4 linked regions of the Saccharomyces cerevisiae S288C genome follow. Changing the gene in region 4 together with the main gene of any one other region gives a genetic interaction. Each region holds a gene or a part of one and is shown on either strand. Other genes may lie near its edges.

Region 1 (2,950 bases), on a different chromosome or scaffold from region 4:
ACAAGAGAAGAAGAGAAAAAGACTAGAAGCCATGAGAAGGGAAATGGAGGCTGCTATGGAAGAAGAAATTTCTGGAGATGAAGAAGAAGGGAAGACAGTAGCATATTTAGGAACAGGAAACTTGAGCGATGATATGAGCGACGGTGATATGCCTGACTCGGAAGGCCACTTGAAAAAGAAAGCTAGAACTGTTGACTATTCCCACGGCCACAATCCATCCAATTCAGTTGATGATGACATTATTGAAGTGGAAGAACCACAAACTTTGGAGGATTTGGAATCTTTGACAGCTAAATTAATCCAGGGTTAAACCCTCCTGCATAGTCTAACCTATAGTATTTAGAACTTGTATACATCTATTCTCTACACTAATATACTTATTTCTTTGTTCAAATCATCGGTAATATTACAATAAAAGAAAAATATGCATATACTTTCGTGCATTGAAGGTGTCAAATGAAATCCCGCTTATAGTGAACAGGCTTCCATCATATATACATATATATATATGTTTATATATGTATATCATCACTTATGCTGCTCCAGGAGATGTAGGTATCTATTCTTTCTTAACGGATCCGCATCTATTAATTGGACCAAATATTGTTCCGAGCTTCTTTCCGTTAGAGCTTCCTTTTCTTCCAGAATATCTTCGAGAACTAATAAAATTTTCAAGCACCAAATATTTTGCTTCCCGGAAAATTCAATTTCGTCATTATTTATTAACAGAATGTTTTCTCTCAAGTCTTTCAACATTTTAAGGTACTCTTGTTCGTCCAGAGTTTTACAAACAATGTCGTTTTTAATGAACCACTTGATATAAAACCATACGGATTGGTCTTCGGCGTCGGTAAACATAGCGTTGATGATATAAGATATTTCAGTCCGAATATACTCCTTTTGATTCCCAACCTCTCCTTTCTGAAACATTCTGCTTATGATCTGTACTCTTTGGTGCCATGCAGAATAATTTGAAATGTTATTGTTAATCTTTATTGTTGTGTATTCAAACTCCTCCTTGTCAAGACTTTTATTAGTGATACTCTCTATGTTACCAACAACTATTCTGCGGTAATGCCATCCGTGGTAATTTCTTGCATCTTGTTCCAATAACTTATTCACGACAGCAAGTTCAGTTTGCCACACTTTAGGGGAACTCGTAGGATAATGTTTCAAGACCCAAAGTCTGTGATTCCATATCCAATAGACTTTGGGGTAATCCTTCAATAGCATCATTACAAAAACTAACTCTTTATCCCAGAAAGGTATTTCCAACTCAGAAGCCAAACTCGCTATAATATCCCTTCTGTAATTCCAAATAGCATTAAATTCCGGATTTTTCTCAAGAAGTTCTGATGTTTTCTTCAGAGCTTCAATTGAGTAAATTTTTTCATCTCTCATATTCAAAACATTTTCAGTCAAGCTTCTATAATCATATATTTTCTTTTCGTCTTGAACTCTCTTTTGTCTCAGTAATTCCTTGGTCCACTGTTTCCTTTTAATGCCATGCTGTTTAATGTGGCAAATATAAAAAATTGCTTGGTAGTCAGTAAAAAAAAGAATTCATAATGTAACGAACATTTGAAGTGCACATACCATTGCTGACCTACTGCTTTATAGTATAAATTCAGTATACTAGGTATATGTGGCTCAAAAATGTGGTTTTTTTCTTTTTTGCCTTTAATTTTTTTCAAATGTTTACGTATGGTTTATGATTTAACATTTCAAGAATAGAAATCGCCCCGAAGAATGATTGATGTTAAATACTCGTACAAGAGTATTGAAAACCACTTCAAAGGGGCCCAATAGCACATTTAATGTCACAATCAATATCACTAAAGGGTTCAACAAGGACAGTTACAGAATTTTTCGAGTACAGCATTAATTCCATTTTGTACCAAAGAGGCGTATACCCAGCAGAAGATTTCGTAACGGTGAAAAAGTACGATCTTACGTTACTAAAGACACATGATGATGAACTGAAAGATTACATTCGGAAAATTCTTCTACAAGTTCACAGGTGGCTTCTTGGTGGAAAATGCAATCAATTAGTATTATGTATTGTAGACAAGGATGAGGGAGAGGTGGTGGAAAGATGGTCCTTCAATGTGCAACACATTTCTGGCAATAGCAACGGGCAGGATGATGTTGTAGATTTAAATACAACACAATCACAAATCAGAGCTTTAATCAGGCAAATCACCTCAAGCGTTACCTTTCTGCCCGAACTAACAAAAGAAGGTGGGTACACATTCACAGTACTTGCATATACAGACGCGGATGCTAAAGTTCCGTTAGAATGGGCCGACTCCAATAGTAAAGAGATACCTGATGGTGAAGTAGTTCAATTCAAAACATTCTCTACCAACGATCATAAAGTTGGTGCGCAGGTCAGCTATAAATATTAATAGAATTCAAGTCAAAAAAAAAAAAAAAGACGGAAGTCCAAAAAAATCTCGTTTTCGATGTTTAGAAAGAATATAGATTTATGAACTATATTATACTATACTACGTACTTCCTCTGTAAACCACTTCATGCGTTTTTTCAAGTGCCTCTGTTAAAGAACCTTGAGTGAGAAACGAAGTCTTTGACACTCAAACTTTGCTTTTTTTGTTCTTCTTTTTGTTGTTGTATTTGAGGGGTGGATACTATCCTCTTCATAACAGGTGGTGATATTTTCAGATCTTGCCTCACAAATTTTGACCAATTCGGATCTTGCATCCTTGCCAAGTTGTTTTCAAATTGACCCAAAAGTACCTTGTCCCACTTGAATATGAAAAGATCGCGATTACTGTCTGGCCTGCTGCCCTCGTCAGTGTCGTCTGTTTCTAAGTTGTAGGCACTCCATAGCTTTTTCCATAATGCCAGGTCCCATGGAATGCCCTTTAAAGCGAGGACAAAAGACCATACCGCTGAATCAGGGTTATTATTGGTCAATTTGGAGTAGGT
Region 2 (3,400 bases), on a different chromosome or scaffold from region 4:
TAGCAATGAACAGAGAAGAAACTCCGTTGTTCAAGAAGGCAATGATTTCATCATCGCTGAATTTACCACTTGGCAAGGACAAAGCCACCAATGGAACTTCTTCCTCTTTGGAGAACTGGAGAATCTCTTCATTACTCAGGCTCGAGCCATCCAAAAGTACCTGACCAACAAGTGAAACGTATTCCTTCTTACTATTCCATGAGGCCAGATCATCAATTAACGGTAGAATCGGCAAAACCATTATTCAGAAAAAAAATTTTGTAAACTATTGTATTACTATTACACAGCGCAGTTGTGCTATGATATTTTTATGTATGTACAACACACATCGGAGGTGAATATAACGTTCCATATCTATTATATACACAGTATACTACTGTTCATAGTCATATCCTTTTCTTACCTTCTATATCGAATGACTGATAAAAAAACGTGAGTCACTGTGCATGGGTTTAGCAATTAATTAACTAATTTACCGGAGTCACTATTAGAGTCAGTTCGACTGCCTAGAAGAACTGCTGGTTGTCAGGATTGTGATGGGGGCATTCTGCTGTATTATGACCCATCGTATCGCAATGCTCACACCACTGTTGTCTTCCTGCCGTGGTATCGACTGGTGCAGGGGGGTCGAAAATTGGCAACGATTCCACGGCTGTTTGTGCTTGAGCCTGTTCCAACTGTTTGATTTTTTCATTAGCCTCTTCAAGTTTTTTCGTTAAGGATGCCACCTCTTCCGATGAGGAATCTTGTGGTTTTGTCAAAAATAGTTCCTTGCTCAAATTTTGGTATTCTTTACTGAGCGAATCGTTATGCATTTTCAATTGTTCGCGTTCTTTAGCCCACTTTGTCTTGTGTAACTCAAATTGGTCTTCTATGTTGCGTAATTGTTCCAGCTGTTTTTTCAGGAGTTCGACATCTTCGTTGGCACCAGTGGGTTGATTATGAGAAAGATTTCTCTCTTCGTTTTCTTTGATCTCTTCGTGTAGTTGGCTTACGACAGCAAGTAGCTGTTCATTCTCAGCGTCAAAAAACTGCTTTTGTTTGGCTTGCTGTCTGCGTTCGAGCTCCAATTGTTGCTTGAGATGGTCTATCTCTTTCTCTCTTTCTTGTATTGTGGCTTCATACCTATCAAAAGTCGGTTGCACTTCTTCGAGGACCATTCTTTGGTCATCGAGTAGCCTTTTGTAGTGTAGTTGTTTCCTTTGTAGCTTTTCGATGGTCAATTGGGCTTCTCGTAATTCAATTGTAACTTCGCTGCTATTGAGGTCATTCATGTGGCCATTGTCCGGTTTCCAATCGCTGGTGGTGTTGTGATTAGCCTTTCTGTCTGATGACAGGATAGAGTCGACCTCCATTCTGTCTTCTCTGTTATCGTAACCAAATTCTTGCTGTTGATGGTGATCCGATGCCTCCTGGTCCATCGACTGTTGATTACCGCTGTGCCGACTGGTGATCCGGAAACTTCTCATGGGTGTGGGGGATTTAGGATCATCCATGGGAGAGAACTGGTTAGTGAGCCTCACAATAGATCTGTTTTTGGGTATTGATAGCGGTTCCATTGTCGTTCTTCTCGAGGTTTGCGATATCGATGCCTTCTCGATCAATGATGCGACTTTTTGCAACTGAATAAATAGTCCACTTTGAGGATACTCCGTTTGAAAATACTTCTTCCCCATGAATGATCCATCGTTCTTACCAATGTTGGCAAGTAAGTCTACACCAGCAAACATTCCAGCTTTCGTGTCCACTGGACCCACGTATTTCAGTTGTCCGCGCCCCAAATTTGGGATTTGTATGAAACATCCTATCTTTCTTTGATATCTATCCATGGTATTTCAAACGCATACACAGCCAGCCACAGCTCAACGCCTTTTACCTTGTCCTTTGATGCCTGTCTCGTCCAAACGTTTTTGGTGTCTTGGCCAATTGCCCTTCTGAAAAATCTCACTGTCCGCAACTCATTAAAAGATACCCAAGCAAGCTACACGATAAAGAAAGGAGAAAGTTCATTAAAAGAACGTACATATAGCGATACAAACGTATAGCAAAGATCTGAAATGGATACGGATAAGTTAATCTCAGAGGCTGAGTCTCATTTTTCTCAAGGAAACCATGCAGAAGCTGTTGCGAAGTTGACATCCGCAGCTCAGTCGAACCCCAATGACGAGCAAATGTCAACTATTGAATCATTAATTCAAAAAATCGCAGGATACGTCATGGACAACCGTAGTGGTGGTAGTGACGCCTCGCAAGATCGTGCTGCTGGTGGTGGTTCATCTTTTATGAACACTTTAATGGCAGACTCTAAGGGTTCTTCCCAAACGCAACTAGGAAAACTAGCTTTGTTAGCCACAGTGATGACACACTCATCAAATAAAGGTTCTTCTAACAGAGGGTTTGACGTAGGGACTGTCATGTCAATGCTAAGTGGTTCTGGCGGCGGGAGCCAAAGTATGGGTGCTTCCGGCCTGGCTGCCTTGGCTTCTCAATTCTTTAAGTCAGGTAACAATTCCCAAGGTCAGGGACAAGGTCAAGGTCAAGGTCAAGGTCAAGGACAAGGTCAAGGTCAAGGTTCTTTTACTGCTTTGGCGTCTTTGGCTTCATCTTTCATGAATTCCAACAACAATAATCAGCAAGGTCAAAATCAAAGCTCCGGTGGTTCCTCCTTTGGAGCACTGGCTTCTATGGCAAGCTCTTTTATGCATTCCAATAATAATCAGAACTCCAACAATAGTCAACAGGGCTATAACCAATCCTATCAAAACGGTAACCAAAATAGTCAAGGTTACAATAATCAACAGTACCAAGGTGGCAACGGTGGTTACCAACAACAACAGGGACAATCTGGTGGTGCTTTTTCCTCATTGGCCTCCATGGCTCAATCTTACTTAGGTGGTGGACAAACTCAATCCAACCAACAGCAATACAATCAACAAGGCCAAAACAACCAGCAGCAATACCAGCAACAAGGCCAAAACTATCAGCATCAACAACAGGGTCAGCAGCAGCAACAAGGCCACTCCAGTTCATTCTCAGCTTTGGCTTCCATGGCAAGTTCCTACCTGGGCAATAACTCCAATTCAAATTCGAGTTATGGGGGCCAGCAACAGGCTAATGAGTATGGTAGACCGCAACAGAATGGTCAACAGCAATCCAATGAGTACGGAAGACCGCAATACGGCGGAAACCAGAACTCCAATGGACAGCACGAATCCTTCAATTTTTCTGGCAACTTTTCTCAACAGAACAATAACGGCAACCAGAACCGCTACTGAACGATGATTCAGTTCGCCTTCTATCCTTTGTTTACGTATTTGTTTATATATATAACTTTATTTTTTTTTATTAATTGGGCTGCAAGACAATTTTGTTGTCAGTGATGCCTCAATCCTTCTTTTGC
Region 3 (5,361 bases), on a different chromosome or scaffold from region 4:
TTGACCGCGGAAAAGTTTAGTATAACAACCACGCATAGAAAGATCGTGATCCAAACGCCCTTGGGAACCGCGGTGGTCCAGTATTCGACCACACCGGATGCCGCCGTACACTCGGCGGCCACTAAAATGACGTAGCAGTAGAAGTAATTCCACCCAGTGGCGAAGCCCAACGAAGGGTCAACGTACCTAGTGACCAGATTGGCCGTCGACCCGGCACTGTCAGAACCATCACCGGGCAAAAAGCACACCATTTCGCCCAGCGCGCACATGATCGGGTAGATCACCGCGGAAATAATAATGTACGATATGAACAGCCCCGCGGGACCGCACGTATGAAGCGTGGATGAAGTCCCCACCAGCAAACCGGTACCGATGGCGCCGCCCAGCGCGATCAGTTGCACATGGCGCGACTGCAAACCTTGTTTTAGTTTGTGCGGCTCGCTATCGCCATCGACGGAGGGCGATTTCTCCAAGTCCACGTCCATAATCAAATCCTCGCGGATGGTGCCGTTGGACGACGCGGACTGGTTCTTAGATATTTTCTCCATACGGATGGCGTCATCTTTTTCATTGTCGCTGCGATGATTATTGCGCGACCCGGACGATGGTGATTCCGTTACCTGGACAACATCCTCCTCCTTCTTGGTGTCGCCGCCGCTACCGTCGCCGCTAACATCGTCCGCGCAGGTGACGACTCCCGCGCTGTGTCTATTGTTCTTGTGGAAGGGCAGTATATTTACCATGATTTATTCATTGATGGTGTGATTCTTCGAAACAGCAAAGAATAAAAGAAACTGGAAGGGAAGAGAGAAAAAAAAAGGAAAGGAAGAGGAACACAAACCCCCTATATATATATAGAAGTACATCAGTCTACAAATATTCGAGTGTATAAGTATGTATATACATATATGTTTATGCGTCTGTATCAGTACATGGATGGAGATATGCTGTGCCTACATTCATGGAATATTCAGATTGGGGCATGTACATAAACAGACATAATTAGTATTTTGGCCGTAGGTCCTGCCCTACCCTGCAAGGTTCTTCTTGTTATCAGCACTGGATGGAGGGGTGAAGCAGATAAAACCCCGGTGTAGTTGGCGATAGGCAGAGTGCAGGCACGATGATAGCGAGGGGTTGAAAACGTCCCATTTTCCTTTGATAGGAAATATCGGGCAGAAGTTGAAAAGCGACAAAAGCGACAGGCACACGCGAACCGGCTAGGCCACCCAAACGTCATAGCTAGCGCAATGAAAAAAACTAACGTCGCTTCCCTTTTGGTTTGATGATGTTTCAACTCGCAGCGCGGGTACCCGGGCTGCCGGAACAAAGCCGTGCAAGTAGCGGCTGTCGTCACGCACCATGGGTACCATCTTGTGCCGTGCCGTGCTACCTCAGATTTAGGACCCTGGAGATTTGGCAGACATGACAAGCAATTTTGACAAACTTGTGACAAGATTTGAACCGCGCGGGAATTCACATTGCAGTATGGACGGACATCCGGCCATCGCGCGCGGGCCCGGTATTTGATCTCCGTTTTAGAAGCACAGAAAAAAATAATATGATGTTATGATGTTTAATAGATGGATTCATATCGTCCGGGTAAAAACGCTTTTGGAGAAATCAAGGAAAATCGCCGAGATCACTAGGAAATACTATTACTATTGAAAAAAAAAAAAAGAAAAAAAAAGGAAAGACGATAATATTTTTGGAAAGAACGCCACCACACGCACTTTACACCCTTCAATCATGAACAATATTCGGGCCTTGCTGGACTCGATACAATCTGGAGTTCAGACCGTTTCTCCAGAAAAGCACCAACAGACGATTGCCGCGATCAACAAATTTCAAGATGATCCTGCACTTCTAGACACCATACTACCGAGATGCGTGCCTCTTTTGACCAAGTCGTTCTTTTGTATGTCACAGCGTGATCAGAAACTTGTTGCGGAGCTTTTCTACAATCTTGACAAGATCTCCCACTCAAAAGTCCTTAAATCATTAGATACAAGTATTTTTAGATTAAACGAAATTTTAAACTATTTACAAGATCGAGCCTCGCCCTCTTCTTTCAGCGATGTCTTGTGCGTCTATCTAAACCTTTCTTGGCTAAGCGTCATTCTGCTTTCACCTTACGCATTCAAAGATAAATTCAACAAAACGCTTCAAGTATCTTCCAGGTTCGAGAACTACCCCATTTGCATACCTCCAATTAACAAGATCAAAGCCGTTTTATATTTCAAAAACTTCACAGATGCCTTTGACCAGCTACCGGAACGGGAACAGGCAAATGTGCCGTTTCTCAACCAATTTTTAAAGCTGTTTATTCAGTCTTCGGAAAAGGCAAACTACTACTTCTCCAATGAAAATCTAAGACACTTACAACAAGTTGCACTGTCCAATGACGGAATAAAGCTGCTGCCAAAATTATTCCAGATTTCGTTCAATCATGGCTCTCATGATATCCTAGATGCTATAGTAGAATTCTTCCATGACCATTTAAGTTCGAATTCCACAGACACAAGATTCCAATTGGCACACTCCTTCGCTAAAATTGCCAAGTTCCTGCACCAGGCAGATCCAGCATCTTTTATCGAGCTCATTGATTATACCATCGAAAATACGGTTTCCCTATTACAGGCTCCTTGCGATTCTATCGATAGCAATGAGCTGCACACTTCCCTTCTGATCATCGCCGAGGTGGCTCTGGCCAAAATTCTGCCTATAGATCTAGTCGACCGCGTATTGACTCTGATCATCCCTAAAACATGTCATTTTCAGAAATCTCACTTTCAAATCATCAAGGGCCACCATATCAGGGACTCGACAAACTTCATTATCTGGTCAGTAATAAGGTCAAACCGTAGCAATAGTTTATCGCCGCAGGTTCTACAATCACTACTTTCTCATCTGTTAATAAACGCCTTTTTTGACCCCGAATTAATAATCAGATACTCGAGTTTTGCCGCGCTCCAAGAATTATTGGGCAGGTCCAACAAATCTCTTGCGCTAAATCAAAATGACATTGCTTTGATATTGCAAGCAAATTGGAAGGATCTACCGAGGTCTTTCGAGGAGAACTCTGGTCTAATTCGTAGGCTGTTCAACCCCGAAAACACCTCCAAAAGTGCTGTTTGCGTATGGAAGGTATTCCGCGATTGGTCCTTCAATTGGAATTTACTAGAGAATTTACATTTGACCACAATGAAACTCAACATAGATTATAACCTAGTTCCATTAATCAAGTCGAAATTATCTTCACCCGCTTTATTGCAAGAGGTATTAAACAAGGCTGGCAGCTCAGTTACACAAAATTGTCAAATTTTGTACTTGTACTTGAAACTATTCGAAAATGACGTAAATTGCCCGAAAATAAGCGAGATTTGTATCGACATTTACCAGAAAAAGATAAAATTCCAATTAACTACTCAAGCGAAAAGACAATTTAACGATAATTCGCCCGAACTGTTTCAAATTTTTGTCATTTTGAAATACTGGCAATTAACAGGACAAAATGATTTCAATCAGGAATTGTTTTGGAAATTTGTAGACATAGTATCCCCACAAAAGAAGTTAAATCTGTACAACGAATTCATCCCTATAATACAGCAAATAATATCTCAATGCGTTAGCCTAAACTACACAAGGATTGTTCAATTAATTAAATCAGATAACGAACTGACTTGCCGATCAATATGTCATATGCCCGATCAAGAAAAGATGTGTTCCCTTTTCTTCTCCCAGTTCCCCCTATTGTCACCTCAATCCAGATCGCTTTTGATAGGCGAACTTGATCATCATTGGGATGTTAGAATAAGCTTACTCCCGTCGAATTCGTATCGAAAATTTCGCAACATCATTATCAACTGTCTCGATGATTATACAATAACTCAACAGGGTGATGTAGGACGTCTGGTAAGAATACAGGCTTTAAAACTTATGCAATCCCATCCCGATTTCTTATCTGGTGATTGCGACTCCATCAATCCAAAATTAACGAGATTGCTGGCGGAACCTGTACCAGAGATCAGAAAACTAAGTTATCAATTACTTGCTTCGGCCACATCACAAATCACTGTGTTATCTGACTCTTCGATACTCAATTTCCGTCACAAGCAAGGTTTAAGTGAAGAATTCTGGAAAGGATATGCAGTGAGCGCTGGAGCAATACATTTTACAGATTCTCAGCTTACTTCATCAATAGATTCATTTATCGTATACTACAGATCTTTGTCTCCTTCACAACAGCTGGAATTATGCCACGATTTAATCAGAATAATTCCAAGCGCTAAACAAATCGCTGAATCAAGAATACGCGATCGTAACAAGGATCCATTAACAGGAGGTATGAGATTTGACACCATCAAATTCACCATTCATTGTGTAAAATTTTGGACTAGAATCATGGAATCTGGGTTGGTTGTTCTACATCCAAATTTTAATTTTCAGGGTGTTTTCGCCAAGTTCTATAACCTACATTTATTAGATTGTACGACATTGAGAGTAAGCGTGATCAAATTCTTCCCGTTCTTGGCAATATCTTGTTACCACACAATGAGAGAAAATGCTGACCAGAAGAATCTATCCAACATAATACTGAAAAGGTTGTTGGTTCTTGTGAAACGTGAATACGCCGCAACAAAATCAAAATTTATGACTGATCAAAATGTCGCTTTACAAGGTATGTTCCAGATATTTTTGGAATTAGGTGTCACCAGGCAACTCCAAGCTCTACAAGTGGCCTGCCAGAAACATGAATTGGCGAATATATTAGAGTCTGATATCACTTTATAGAATGTAAACGGCAAATTTTACATATAATCATTATTTTTGTTGCATTTGCTTAGATCTTATGTAAGAAAATAGATTTTCTACTCTCTTTGCATAGGATACATCCGCAGCAAAATTATATTCCGCATCATTTGCGGTAAATAAAGCTTCATTCCGCATTTCTTTATCTCTTTTTGCTTTAGATTTTTGGAAAATTTCTGAATCCATATGAAATAGAGTTTTTCGCTCCCCAAAAATTTTGCGCAATTCCATTATGTTTATTGGTTGAATGGTCCCTTTTTCTGACTTAAATGGTTTATTCTCAACATACCATTCGCCGACGTCATCTGTTATCTGCAAAACTCTATCGGTGTTTTCTTGTATATCAATTTCTAAGCTGGATAGCCATTCAGAAATTGCATCTCCGATTTGTATTGGCAACCTCCACGAAAACTTATCACTAAACTTATCGAAAAGAAAAAATTTGTGACTTTGTGTAACCAACAAATTATAGAAAGCAAAATAGAAAAAATCAGAATCAGAGTAGTTTTTGCAGACTTTCAACATCGAGAGAAAATCGTGGGAGGTAAA
Region 4 (4,203 bases):
ATGAAGAGAATGGGTAAACTCCACAGGATTTTCAATTCACCAGACATATACGTGGTGATTGCAACACCAACAACGAATAGCGCGGCAGGAATATAGATCCCGTGGACAGGTTCGTCTAGAATGTTAGTTCCTTCTATGTCTTCTTTTGACATTTTCTTCACGCGGTTCTTGGAGTGCTTCCTTTTTTGTGATAAGTTTGGGTGGCAACGAGATGAGCTCAAAACTCTTTGTTTTTTATGGGTATTTTTGTCTTAGAATATTTTCAAATTTTTCAATATTCCGCGGAACATAGGGAAAAAAATAAATTTAATAAGCTATTGTTCTAACTGTACACCTAAAGGTAAGTGAAAAATAATTCGATAATTAGAGGTATCTTTATTTGGATAGAATATGCATATATATATATAAGCGTATATATATATATATATATATATGTATATACATATGGACATTAAGTAAATATAAATCTATAAGTGGGTATCGGGATCAGAGCCACTTTCTTAGAACTCCTCAGCGTAAGAATCGGCACCCACTTCAATATAATCTCTTTCTAAGGCAGCTAAATCTTCTCTAGCTTCGGTGAACTCACCTTCTTCCATACCTTCACCGACATACCAATGGACGAAAGCACGTTTGGCATACATCAGGTCGAATTTCTGATCGATTCTCTTCCAAGCGTCCGCGATGGCAGTGGTGTTGGATAGCATGCAGACAGCTCTATCCACATTGGCTAATTCGGAACTTGGTATCACACTTGGTGGCTCATAACAAATACCAATCTTAAATCCTGTTGGACACCAATCCACCATTTGTACTGTTTTTTTATTCTTCACCTGTTCGACGGCTCTTTGGACATCTCTGGTCACCACGTCACCTCTGTATAACAAACAGTTAGCCATGTACTTCCCCTTTGTTGGGTCACACTTAACCATTTGATTGCCCGGTTCGAAACAAGCGTTTGTGATTTCTGACACGGAGTTGGATTCATGGGTGGCCCTCTTCTTGGACAAGATGGGTGCGTAGGAAACCAAAGGGAAATGAATTCTTGGATATGGTACCAAGTTGGTCTGAAATTCGTTCAAATCCACGTTTAATGAACCATCGAACCTCAAAGAGGCTGTAACAGATGATATCACTTGGGCAATCAACCCGTTCAAGTTGCTGAAGCTTGGTCTAGAAATTCCCAAGTTCCTCTTGCATATATCGTAAATGGCTTCGTTATCGACCATAAACGTACAGTCTGCGTGTTCCAGGGTGGTATGCGTGGTTAAAACCGTGTTGTAAGGTTCCACGACGGAAGTAGACAATTGAGGCGCAGGATAAACGGCGAATTCCAATTTGGATTTCTTCCCGTATTCATACGATAAGTTTTCTAATAACAGGGAACCTAAACCGGAACCAGTTCCACCACCGAGGGAGTGGGTGAACAAGAACCCTTGTAAACCGTCACATTGGTCGGCCATCTTTCTAATTCTTTCTTCAACTTCATCCACTATTTCTCTACCCACTGTATAATGGCCTCTTGCGTAGTTATTGGCGGCATCTTCCTTACCGTTAATCAATTGTTCTGGATGGAAAAGCTCCTTGAAACGTCCTGTACGTACTTCATCGATAACATTGGGCTCTAAATCCACGTAGATTGCTCTTGGGACGAATTTTCCGTACCCCGTTTCATGGAAGAATGTAGAAAATCCTTCTTCACCTCCCTTAGGTTTTGACAAGCCATCCTCCAAATGGCCGTCTTCCTTGATGCCATGCTCTAGGGAGTACAATTCCCAGCATGCATTACCTATTTGACAACCTGCTTGACCAACTGTTGTAAAAAAGAAAAATAACAAAAGTTCCAGCAATCCTCCGAAGAAGAAGACACAAAAATCACTCCCCATGTAATGAGGTCAATTATGAGCTTTTTCGTCCGAGTATGCCCAGAAAAAATGGAGAAAAAGAAACTGTTAGTAAACTGTGCTGGTACAAGTCAAATTATTTGCCGTAAATCAACCAGATGGTGACCAATTGGGAATGAATCAAACCAGATCAGATCAAACTTCTTTCCCTGTCCCACAGGTGCCATTGGTTGCGAATATTGAACAAAAAAAGGAACGCATACATACCATTAATACTAATGACCTCTCTCATTGTCTCAAGTCGCTTGCTTAGTCGATTAATGTACTTTATGAGATACCTGATCTGTGTTTATATTTCTTTTAGATGTGCAATTTGTAAAACGTTTCGTGGTTTCCAGAGGCTCGAGAAATGATATGTCGGGTAACGTCTGGAACTAAAAAAGAAAGGACGATATGCTCTGCTCTGGCACCAGCCAACAGGATGGCAGAGAGATGTGAGGAAATAATGAAATTAAAAGAAATTATCGAATAAATATGTAACCTGACAGTATTTATAGATTATGTAAGGGGTTTGATAATAAGTTTATAAAAATGTTTTTGTATTATTTGTTCTAGTTTACAAGTTTTAGTGCATCTTTGAGGCTTTTATGCTTCATGTTGAAGTTGAGATGGGCTGGAAGATTCAATGTCATTATTCTTGTTTCTGAAGTTTAGCGTAGCAGGATCGATTTCATCGTGGTATAGCTCGTTAATTTCTTCTAGAGTCTTTCTCTTAGTTTCTGGGATCAACAAGGTTGTGAAGATACCCAACAACATGAATAAGGCGAAAATTTCCATGACGTGAGGTAACCAACAGTTGGTTGGCTTACCGTCTCTAGCACAGTTATGGTCGATTAGAGTACCCAAAGCGGTTTGTGCAATAATGGCACCGACCTTACCAGATGCAGCAGAAATACCATGAGCAGTAGATCTGTAACGAGTTGGGAAACACTCACCAGGAACAATAAAGGTGGTTGTGTTTGGACCGAAGTTTTGGAAGAATTGACAAATGACGTAAAGAGCCAACAGACCATGGTCACCAAGTTTATGGTATGCGAAACCGATGACACAGAACAAAGCGGTCAAGATGATGAAACCGGCTAATTGAATTGGTTTTCTACCGATTATATCGACAGTGAAGACGGATACCCAGTAACCAGGTAATGAACCAGCACAAATCAAAATCAGATTACCGACAGCAGTATCATACAGTTTCTTGTAAACGTTTTTGGAACCGGCATAACCGATGGTTTGCAGAATAACAGCACTGTTTAAACTCAACCCGTAGAAAGCAACATCTAAGGTAAACCATGAACCAGCAGTACCTAGCAAAATCTTACCGTACTTCCATTGACCAAAATGTCTGCAGAAATCTTTGAACGAAGCCTTTGGAGGATGATTGTCAAGAGATTCGACGGCAGTAGAAGCTCTTTCCAAACCGTTAATTGCCATGTCTTCATCACTGGTGTCGTGAATTTTCTTTTCGCCATCTTGTTCTTGTGCGGCAGCAGCAAGTTCCAACTTAGCGTTAACATCCAATTGATATCTAGGAGATTCTGGAATAGTTAATCTGAAATACAAACATGCCAACCCTAGAACGGTACCCAACCCAATAAGGATTCTCCACATTTGGTCACAAGCCTTTTGACATCTAGCATCACATTCAGCACCAGAGTTTGCGTATTCTAGTTCGCCCTTGTAAGCAGCAACCAAGATAAGAGCGATGATACCACCGGAGATTTGACCCCAAGCTTGGTTAGCAAAGACAGCACCCATGATGGCACCTCTCCATTTGGTAGTGGCAAATTCAGAAGTAATAATAGAAGATAGTGGGTAGTCACCACCGATACCAATACCCATGACAATACGGTAGAATGTTAAAACAGCAACGAAGTTAATAGCAGGAGAATGAGCAACAGTGGTTTGCAGAATGGTACAGACAATCATGATAATAAGTTCCATACCATAAATTCTCTTACGACCAACAATATCAGCTAAAGTACCAAAACCAAATTGACCAATAACAGTACCAACAGAAGTGGAAACCTTCAACAAGGTTTGACTTGGACCTGGCATACTACCGTGCCAGTAAACGTAGGACATCATAGTGATACCCAAATTAATGGCAAAAATATCATAAGAATCTGTCAAGAAACCAACACCAGCAATGGAGATGGTCTTAACTTGTTGCCAACCGAAACCTTCGTCATCGATGGACTCCAAAGCCAATCTTCTTCTTTCCAGAGGATCTTCAATATGAGCAAAATCATTCAAATGGTTGTGGAAGGCCATGTTACCACCTTCGGTAAGGTGTTCTTTA

What was found.
Region 1: mutations in TUB3 (region 4) and MAD2 together harm fitness more than expected from each alone (negative genetic interaction), as found in Saccharomyces cerevisiae (5 studies listed by BioGRID, with this or other methods).
Region 2: mutations in TUB3 (region 4) and BIK1 together harm fitness more than expected from each alone (negative genetic interaction), as found in Saccharomyces cerevisiae (4 studies listed by BioGRID, with this or other methods).
Region 3: mutations in TUB3 (region 4) and CIN1 together harm fitness more than expected from each alone (negative genetic interaction), as found in Saccharomyces cerevisiae (6 studies listed by BioGRID, with this or other methods).

The regions. Positions count from the first base shown.
Region 1 is NC_001142.9:385,840-388,789, forward strand, and holds MAD2 (spindle checkpoint protein MAD2), read left to right. Parts: upstream 1-1,817; coding exon 1,818-2,408; downstream 2,409-2,950. Other genes in the region: RNA-dependent ATPase HCA4, read left to right, coding at 1-310; Rab geranylgeranyltransferase BET4, read right to left, coding at 529-1,509, 1,597-1,599; VPS53 (Vps53p), read right to left, coding at 2,546-2,950. UniProt on the Saccharomyces cerevisiae protein: Central component of the spindle assembly checkpoint which is a feedback control that prevents cells with incompletely assembled spindles from leaving mitosis. Thought to be recruited to unattached kinetochores by MAD1.
Region 2 is NC_001135.5:68,093-71,492, forward strand, and holds BIK1 (Bik1p), read right to left. Parts: upstream 1,830-3,400; coding exon 507-1,829; downstream 1-506. Other genes in the region: HIS4 (trifunctional histidinol dehydrogenase/phosphoribosyl-AMP cyclohydrolase/phosphoribosyl-ATP diphosphatase), read right to left, coding at 1-241; prion domain-containing protein RNQ1, read left to right, coding at 2,058-3,275. UniProt on the Saccharomyces cerevisiae protein: Required for nuclear fusion, chromosome disjunction, and nuclear segregation during mitosis. Probably required for the formation or stabilization of microtubules during mitosis and for spindle pole body fusion during conjugation.
Region 3 is NC_001147.6:988,040-993,400, forward strand, and holds CIN1 (Cin1p), read left to right. Parts: upstream 1-1,749; coding exon 1,750-4,794; downstream 4,795-5,361. Other genes in the region: proline permease PUT4, read right to left, coding at 1-743; MNE1 (Mne1p), read right to left, coding at 4,825-5,361.
Region 4 is NC_001145.3:21,548-25,750, forward strand, and holds TUB3 (alpha-tubulin TUB3), read right to left. Parts: upstream 2,137-4,203; coding exon 2,112-2,136; exon of another isoform or gene 2,017-2,111; intron 1,814-2,016; coding exon 501-1,813; downstream 1-500. Other genes in the region: PGA3 (cytochrome-b5 reductase), read right to left, coding at 1-152; phosphate transporter PHO84, read right to left, coding at 2,490-4,203. UniProt on the Saccharomyces cerevisiae protein: Tubulin is the major constituent of microtubules, a cylinder consisting of laterally associated linear protofilaments composed of alpha- and beta-tubulin heterodimers.